Kluyveromyces lactis: one gene and its partner. The protein of the gene in region 2 purifies or fractionates together with the protein of the main gene of each other region. This does not show direct contact. Links are inferred from orthologs where the notes say so. Each region holds a gene or a part of one and is shown on either strand. Other genes may lie near its edges.

Region 1 (4,382 bases), about 1.2 Mb from region 2:
AAAGATGGTGTGATAACATTTGATTCCGTGCTTTGGTAGTTTACATCCCACACCTGTACAGAGGCATCATGCTTATTGCGATCTAAACCCATGGCTATTAGGCCATTTGTATTTATACTCAAACTGTTGATAGTTCGCTGGTGCTTTGCTCGTACTCGTAGATCGAACGGCTCGTATGCATCGTCCGTATCCAAAATATTAAATAACCGTACAACACCGCTTTTCTCACCGACACCTACTATACCTTCATCTGTATTAGAGTAATCTAGACATGTTATATTTCCAAAGTCCTTTACTGTATTCACCTTAACGATGGACTCGTCTGTCTCCACATCCAGCTTCACTCGGTAATGAGAAACTTCATCTCTTGTAGGATTAACAGACAAAAAATCCAACCCTTCCACATTTGGCCAACAAGGAACGCGTTTAATCAAGCCCATGAAGTAATACTGGTGGATTGGCCTCGACAGATGCTTTACTACATTGAATACCGTAATATTATTTGATGCATCTTATCACTCATTCTGAAGTTATCTTGAAATAATTTACCGTATATAGTTTTATTACCCGGATATATGTACATAGGAACAGGAGAGTTAAGTACTGAGTGAACGAAAACTTGATGGATAATTCAGTCACGTAGTAGTCCTTTCAATTGTCTTTCCTGTTTGATCGATAAATCTTCAACATCAGCTAGTCCTTCGCGTGCAAGTATTTTCCGGCCCTTCCAATTAACCTCTTCTACTTGATGTGTTCTCTCATCTATATCGAAATCGTCATGTAATAAAGTATGTACATCTAACTCATCAATCTTAGATAAAAGTTTGTTAAGATCGTTGATGAGCTTAGATCCCATTATTACCAGTGATCTCGGTGACCTCTCATTGGATGTTATTTTCACTATATTTCCAACAAATTCATCCTTGAATTCTTGGACAGATAAGTATTCATCATTTTCAAGCCTGGAGCTAATGTAAGGTATGACCTTGAAATTTGAAGATGATTCGAGGTCTGCAAAAGATTTAAAAGATAAAGTCTTTGTGAGATTGTTCCACACAACATCCTTCAATATATACCTTATCGGATGGAACGCAATGTCGTTTATGATCCTTTGGTTTCTTACCCTTTCAACATTACATTCTTGTTTAGCCACCAAAGATGATGCAAGACCTTCCAATGAATTGAGGTCTCTCAAAAGAACTTCTGAGAATACGATTCTGTCATTTAGCTCTTCGGTATCTAGAGTATTCAAAGAAGATGGGCTGAACTTTCTTACCAAAGGAGCGCCTCTTTTGAGTTCTCTTTTCATTGTCCAGTACTTGCATATATCCAACGAAATTTGCTCGGAATTTGGAACATGAAATCTGTTTAAAACTCTCATTGTAATATCTGCGAAGGCTTGAGGTGCAATTAAAGTTCCCCTACTGGTTTTCCATTTATTCTTAATGGTTTTCTTGGCAGATTGCTTGTTTTCTTCCACGGCACTGTCTTGTAGCACCTTGTGATGATTAATGTGATTAAAATAATCCCTAGTTTTACGAATTCCGTCTTCACAGCTACTCCAGCCGTTAGGAGAATGTTTGTGACAAAAACTTTCCAGGAAAGCACCTGTGGAAAAGTTTTTTGAGGCAGCCTCTTGAACTGTACATCCATTGAAGTTCATGTATAATCCAGCTCTTTTAGCGCACGTAGTGTGATACGCTGCAAAACAGTTCTTATTCGAGCATTGGATGCAAGCACCGACCTCTTGTTTGCAAATATAACATGTGAGCTTCCATCGACTTTTCGGGATATTCTCTATTCCTCCAATCGGCTCCATATAGTGTAGATTTCCGAAATAAAGCTCTGGTATCCAAATTCCACATAACACATGGCCCCACGATCCGTTATCCGTTTGTTTGAAAGCTCCAGTGGTACTGGGACAAAAGAGACACTCGAGCTTTCTATTTTTGGATATCATGCATCTTCGGCAAAGCCACTGACCTTCTGGAATGAAAACTACACCATAGCATTCCTGATGTACGGCGATATCGCAACCATCGCAAAATACTATCGCATTCGAATTATCACATTCTATGCCTCCACATACTGCACACGGTTGATCCATTGGGTATCCAGTACCGTCGTCTGATCCGTATAACTCATGATGCTTCCAGGCAGCATGAGATTCATGCGTATTATTAGTAGCACTAGGTGATACTCTTGGTGGAATTTTCTTCTCTAAATGGAAAGCTTCGTTCTCTAATATCGTAATAACTATTTCGAAAACTTCGTGTGATAACTTATGCTTAGAATTTGTCAGTGCCGTATTTAAGTGCCGAAGGAATAAGTCATCTTGCTCATCCATATCATACTCTACCTTAAAATTAACCTGGTATGGCGAAACATCAGCAAAAAACTCATTGCTATGCTTCATCAATAGATCAGTCTTCTTACAGTATGACTTTTGATCTAATCCGCAAGTACGATCTGCATGAGATCTGTATCCGTATTTTACCAACTGTTTATTAACCTTGCCATGAGGATTTAGCTGTGATATCCGAATCTTACAGCGCTTGAACTCTGCGTTCTTGATTTGAGGTCCTAGCATTTCGATTGTTATGCTATCGTTTACGATCAATTGTTTCCATGACTTCAAATGTTCTCGCAAATTATCGTCAGGATACACTTCTTCTTCATCGTGGCGATGACGATCATTCAACTCATCATGATTATTTTTCCCAAAAAGGACAAGGTCATTTACGTCTAAATCCGGATAGAAATGCTTAAAACTAACTTCTTCTCGAAGCCTAACGCCGTCCTCTTGAGTTTGCATTAGTTTATCCCAACTATATTACAGCCTATCGTATCCAAAATGAGCTTCTTCGGTGAAAAGAGGCATGTCATCACATCTAATTGGATCGTTTTCAACATATAGGCCGATTCATTTATCTTTTTTCTTTGTTATGGTTTTCGGAGTATATATCACGTGATATGATTGAATGTTAATTTGACTTAAGAACTGACTCTGCAAGCGTCCGTAGATATGATCGACACTCATTGAACAATATTAGGGTTAGCATCTTTGAAAAGTTGATCAAGGCGTCTAGTTATCCTTTTATATTACTGCTTTTTCTTTCATTTGTAACGGTTTTATGACATTTTGTGATTAAAAGTGATGTGCCAAGCAACAATTAATAAGAAGCATGAATTTGCATATTATAAAAACACATTATCGTTACATAGCGCATTGTAGAACTAAGGAACATATATATATATATATATATATATATATGTATATTAACTACTTTAAGTGGTATACATTTGTATATTCTTGTAATTAGATTCGAAAAAACCCAAGGAAGATCATCCCCTACTCTTCGAAATCAAGTAATAAATCAACAGGATTTTCGGCACGTCCGCTGAACATTAATTTGCTGTTGTCTTCGTTCTCCATTAATGTACCAGACAAAAATTGTTGAAGATCATCATGTATCGCGTTTGCTCCCGCGTTTGTCTCCTTGACAAGCATCGGATATGTTCTACTGTCAATAATCCTTTCTGGATATTGCTCATCATCGTTAATATATTCATTGTTGATGTGAGCTTGTTGTTGTTGTTGTTGTTGTTGTTGTTGTTGTTGTTGTTGTTGTTGTTGTTGTTGTTGTTGTTGGTGTCGCTGCTGTTGGTATTGTTCTGAGGAGATATGATGAGTAATGGGGGATTCAGATTTGGAAATATGTTGGTAATTTTGAGAAGTTTTCGGGTATGCTCCTGATTGCAACAGAGAAGAATTTGTGAGATCCGACTTTTTTCTTTCGAGTTCAGCGATCTTCTTCCTTAGTTCTTCCTTTTTTGCATCTTGAATCTCTAAAACTTGCTTTAAGCAATCCATATATTCAATTGTTCTTTTCAATATAGTTCCTTTATTTGGTTTTACCTTCTTTCCAAAATCATCGAAATGTAACAATGTTGGTGGAACCAATGTCCCCAACTCCTTTATTTTAGCTTTGATCAGCTCTCTTCTACGCCTTTCGACGGCATTATGAAATTCTCTTCTCCTACGTATTTTCTCATCTTGAGTCAAAGCCGATGAGTTCATGTCTTTAGGCGTGGAAGTCAAACTGCTACTTGTTGGAAACTGTTGCGAACCCCTGTTACTTCTCAATGACGATGAGAGTTGCGAAGCACCACGATAACTGGCAGAAGGAGACCTTAAACTTGAAGACAGTTGGTTGTAAGAGTGGGAATCAAACGAATTCATTGGTTGTGGCTGGTACGATGAAACTGGTGTCATCAGGTCACTATGGATACTGGACCCCAGAGATGATACGAAATCATCTGTAAAGTTGCTAACCAAGTCATCTGTGGCTTGGGAGCCTTGCAAATGTTCGCGAAACATT
Region 2 (4,192 bases):
TAAACTGTCTGTATTAATACCATTATCAAGAACCAAAAACTTAAAAAACTACTTTACAAACCACTTTCAGACATGTATGAACATGAACCCCGAAGTGTATCGTGGCGCCAGTCGCTGCTACTTCAATCATCATTGTCGTTGATTTACTATCACATAAACGCACACACTTTCCTGATTATGACCCCATTGTACAAGTACTATAACTACAATAGAACATCAATAATACTGTTACAGTGTTATCTTTATGCCAAATCATTTGAACTGTACCATATGGTTATTTTTTGTCATAATAATGTCCCTATTCAGTTTATTATAGCAAAGGGACACGGGCTGCTCCTTTTGCATAAACACTTAAATGAAAAGTGCGTACTATTACGTTGTTTTGTTATTTACATTTTACTGCTATATCAATGATGGCATTAATTTTCGCTATTCTTACAATCATATACATATATACATGCATATATTAGATATTACACTATTATCAGTTTTCTTCTCATAAACACATGTCATGGCCACGCATTACTATGATTAGGTTATCCTTTAATTAATATTCAAACTCTATTCCGTAAGACTCTCTGTGGTCTTTGCTGAACTTCATTTTCTACGGGATTGTGCTGTCTGAGTTTTCTTAGAGATCTACTGACCCTAGGAGTCGCTATTTCCTCTGGAGGCGGTGGCACTTGATCATCATCTTCATCATCATCTGAATACTCCTCAGCTTCTGCATCATCTAGCGAGAAACCTTCATCTTCTAAACCGTCTGCCTCTTCAAACTCTTCCTCAATTTCTTGCTCATCGCCATTTATATCATCGTGCATACCTCCGCTGATCAGTGTTTTGGCATCAGAAGCATCGCCAGAAGGTGTACCTTCATTGAGAGCTGGAATAGTCCCCCCGAGCTTCGTATTGAGTTGTTTGAATTCAGGTTTTATTTTGCTTGCCTTAATGATTTTTTCCTTGATATTGCTTGGAAGTGTATATGCTCGAACTAAAGATTTATCAGACAAGGATACAGGAATAGTTTGTTGCTTAATCTTTTCCATTGCAGCTTCTTCCATCGTTCTTGGATCCGCCAAATCGTCACTCATAAAATTCGTTAGAACAGATATACTTTGTTTGAATGGATCAGCAGCTGTTGAACCAGCGGCAGACGTAATTCTTTGCTGGCTAACATTTGTTTCTACCATGGTTCCAACGGCATTGATTCCACACGAAGGACCGAAAATGACATGCTTCCAAACAAATCTGGAAGGGTCCAAAGTATATTTCATTTTCGCTCTAGACTGTTCAAATAACTGACACAAGATATCCCAATCTTCTACTTTCACTGCATATTTGCATTTACCTGAGGCTTCATCGTTGTATTTGTATAGACATCCAATCTGTTCCAGGCCGAATATCACATCCGAATGATTCATACCGGTTAGATTGGACAAGTCGTCTATGGTACAAGCGAATGAATCACCCAGTTCTTCAAATAACATATTAAGCGTTTGCACCATCTTATTTTTCCAGTATATTCGATAAGATACCAAACCAAGATCACTCAAAGGTTTCTCGGGAGTGCCTAGTTTAAATTCCCTTCTTGATAAGAGATATGAAAAGTCCATCAGTAGATGTCCGATACCGCGCCTTTGAAAATGTGGTAAAGTAAGAATACAACTTAGGTTATAACCAGTTGAGTTTAGCTTTTCCTTAGAAAAATATCCAACAAATTTCCATTCTTCGTCCTCCCATACTGTTATGGTGTAAAACATAAAGGGTTCCACGTCATAATACAAAGTTTTCGAATTTAAAAAAAGTTTCGCTAGTAAACATAAATTCTGACAATAAATAACGTTCTCTCTTCCGTCTACTTCCCAAATGGCGAACCCTTGGTCCATATCTCTATAAATTTGGTTTCCTGGCGGGTGGATATAATCACATTTCAACTGATGCCTATAATAGACATACTTTGAACTCATATATTTCAAACACTTGTCGCAAATATAGATAATTTCGTTCTTGTTATACTCTTCAGGGTAGGGAGCCTTATACCAAGTTTTGATCTCATAATTTTGGAAATAAACATATTCCACGTTGGTTGTCTTCGCAGAATGCATCAAAGCTGTTGGCTTTAACCGTTTCTTATCTTGATTATGAGCTTCATCATTTGGAAATGCCAGGAGTGTGTTACCATTGAAACGAGCTGCTGTTTGGGACTTACGCAGCAAAGTTAGAAAAAACTCTCTATCTTTGACACGAGGAATGGTCCTATGAGTTGTATAATCCTGCTTATTTTCAATTGCGCCACGATAAGGGAACTGAGCATCGTTATCAAGAGATGTTAACAAATTTTCAGTTTCATATATCTCAAAGTCAATGCCATTTAGCGGAATTGACGGTACTTTTACGTCGAGATCGCTGCCTCTGTTCAACACTTGATTGAAATCAAGCAACTTCAACGGATTATACCTGATAGTAATAATTCTACGATCGTCTGAAAATTGCACATGGCTGTTCATCTCATTCCAATCAGATGGTATAACAATCGTTTTAAGTTTCTTGTCCTTATTCTTCTCCGGTTGCACCCCAGAATCATCAGCACCGTTATAGCCTATATGATCCGACGACTTGTCATGTCTATCTCTGGTGCGTTTCCGTCGTACTCCACCATCTCCAGCGTCCCATAAATCAGCCTGTACTTTGGAATGTATATTATCATCAATCAGAAGTTCCTTCAGCAGTCTATTTCGCTTAGAAGTCGTCATTCTTAAATATGCGATGACTGCCACTTGATGAATTATTATTTCTTCTTTCAATATAAGGTAAACAAATAGAGAGGATAGTACCTTTACTAGTTTTAGAAGAGAAGAATGTCTATTCTAAAAACACATTCTCACAAGAACTCACAAAGTCCGAGTTATAGTAAACGAAACTAACAGCAAGCAATCTAGGTCTTACATTTACAAAAACCGGTTGCCTATATCATTCTTTCTCCTATGAAATGAAGCAAAACAATACAGATCCATGTTACTGCTGCATCAAAAATTTCGGTTTCTTGATGGTCACGTGATATCTGTATTTTTTTGTATCTTTCATACCAGCTCAGTTAGCAAATATTTCCCATGATCTTGTTGCTCTTCTTCGAGAAATTTTCGGTTACTGGAAAGGTAACCTTGGCTACAGTGACTGCATTTCATGCACTTTACTGTACCCTTACCGTCCTCTGGTGTTTATGAAAGCCGTTCCTTGCAATGTGTATAAATTGTAGGTTGTATTTTATGTGTGTTTCCATTTTGACGTTTATGTCATAGTATGTATATATAAGTGACTTAAGCTATGAACAACGTGTCAACCATCTATATAATTTATACAGTTCAACGCCTATTTCTTGGCTTTGAATTGGTCAAACTGTTTATCAAAGTCAGTTAGTGTGAATCTGAAACGAACATCACCGCTTTCCATTCTTTTGAACACTGTGGAGATATTTTCCTCACTGATTGGAACCGTTTCAACCCATAGTTTGATCTTCTTTTCAGCCACCAAGTTCAACATTTCAATGATTTCTGCACGAGATGCTAGACAAGATTGAGTAATCTGGAATCCTAGAAGTTGCGCTGGATGTAAATGTATGGCTTCATGCTGATCAGGGACAGAAATGGATGCAATAACACCTTGAGCTTTCAAAATCTTTGGTAGCTTGCCGAAATCAACGGCCGACAATGAGTTACCACATAGAACCATGAAATCCAATGTATCGAAATACTTGGTTTCCCAACCTTCATCTTCAGTGGCAATGTAATGGTCTGCACCCAATTGCTTGGATGTTTCCTCCTTGGCATGGGATCTAGAGATGGCGTACACTTCGGCACCCATGGCTTTGGCTAATAGAATACCCATGTGACCAATACCTCCGATACCAACGATACCGACTTTCTTACCTGGGCCACATCCATTTCTCTTCAATGGAGAATACACAGTGGCACCACCACATAGCAATGGTGCAACATTGTTGGTTTCTAAAGATTCTGGGATTGGAATCACGAAATGTTCGTGGACTCTGATGTGAGATGCGTAACCACCTTGACCAACATAACCATCTTCAAAGTATGGTTGAGAGTAAGTGGTAACGAATTTTGGACAGTATTGTTCGTTGTCATTGTTACAACGGTTACAGTCCAAACAAGCACTGACTTGTGCACCAACA

The links.
Region 1: the proteins of SAS3 (region 2) and NTO1 purify together in Saccharomyces cerevisiae (affinity purification with mass spectrometry; 4 studies listed by BioGRID, with this or other methods). This does not show direct contact. The link is inferred for Kluyveromyces lactis from reciprocal best matches to the Saccharomyces cerevisiae genes SAS3 and NTO1.

The regions. Positions count from the first base shown.
Region 1 is NC_006041.1:584,393-588,774, forward strand, and holds NTO1 (Nto1p), read right to left. Parts: upstream 2,816-4,382; coding exon 632-2,815; downstream 1-631. Other genes in the region: SEA4 (Sea4p), read right to left, coding at 1-440; RTG3 (Rtg3p), read right to left, coding at 3,353-4,382.
Region 2 is NC_006041.1:1,770,339-1,774,530, reverse strand, and holds SAS3 (histone acetyltransferase), read right to left. Parts: upstream 2,754-4,192; coding exon 555-2,753; downstream 1-554. Other genes in the region: KLLA0_E19889g (NAD(P)-dependent alcohol dehydrogenase), read right to left, coding at 3,370-4,192. UniProt on the Saccharomyces cerevisiae protein: Catalytic component of the NuA3 histone acetyltransferase complex, that acetylates H3K14. The NuA3 HAT complex has 2 functionally distinct forms.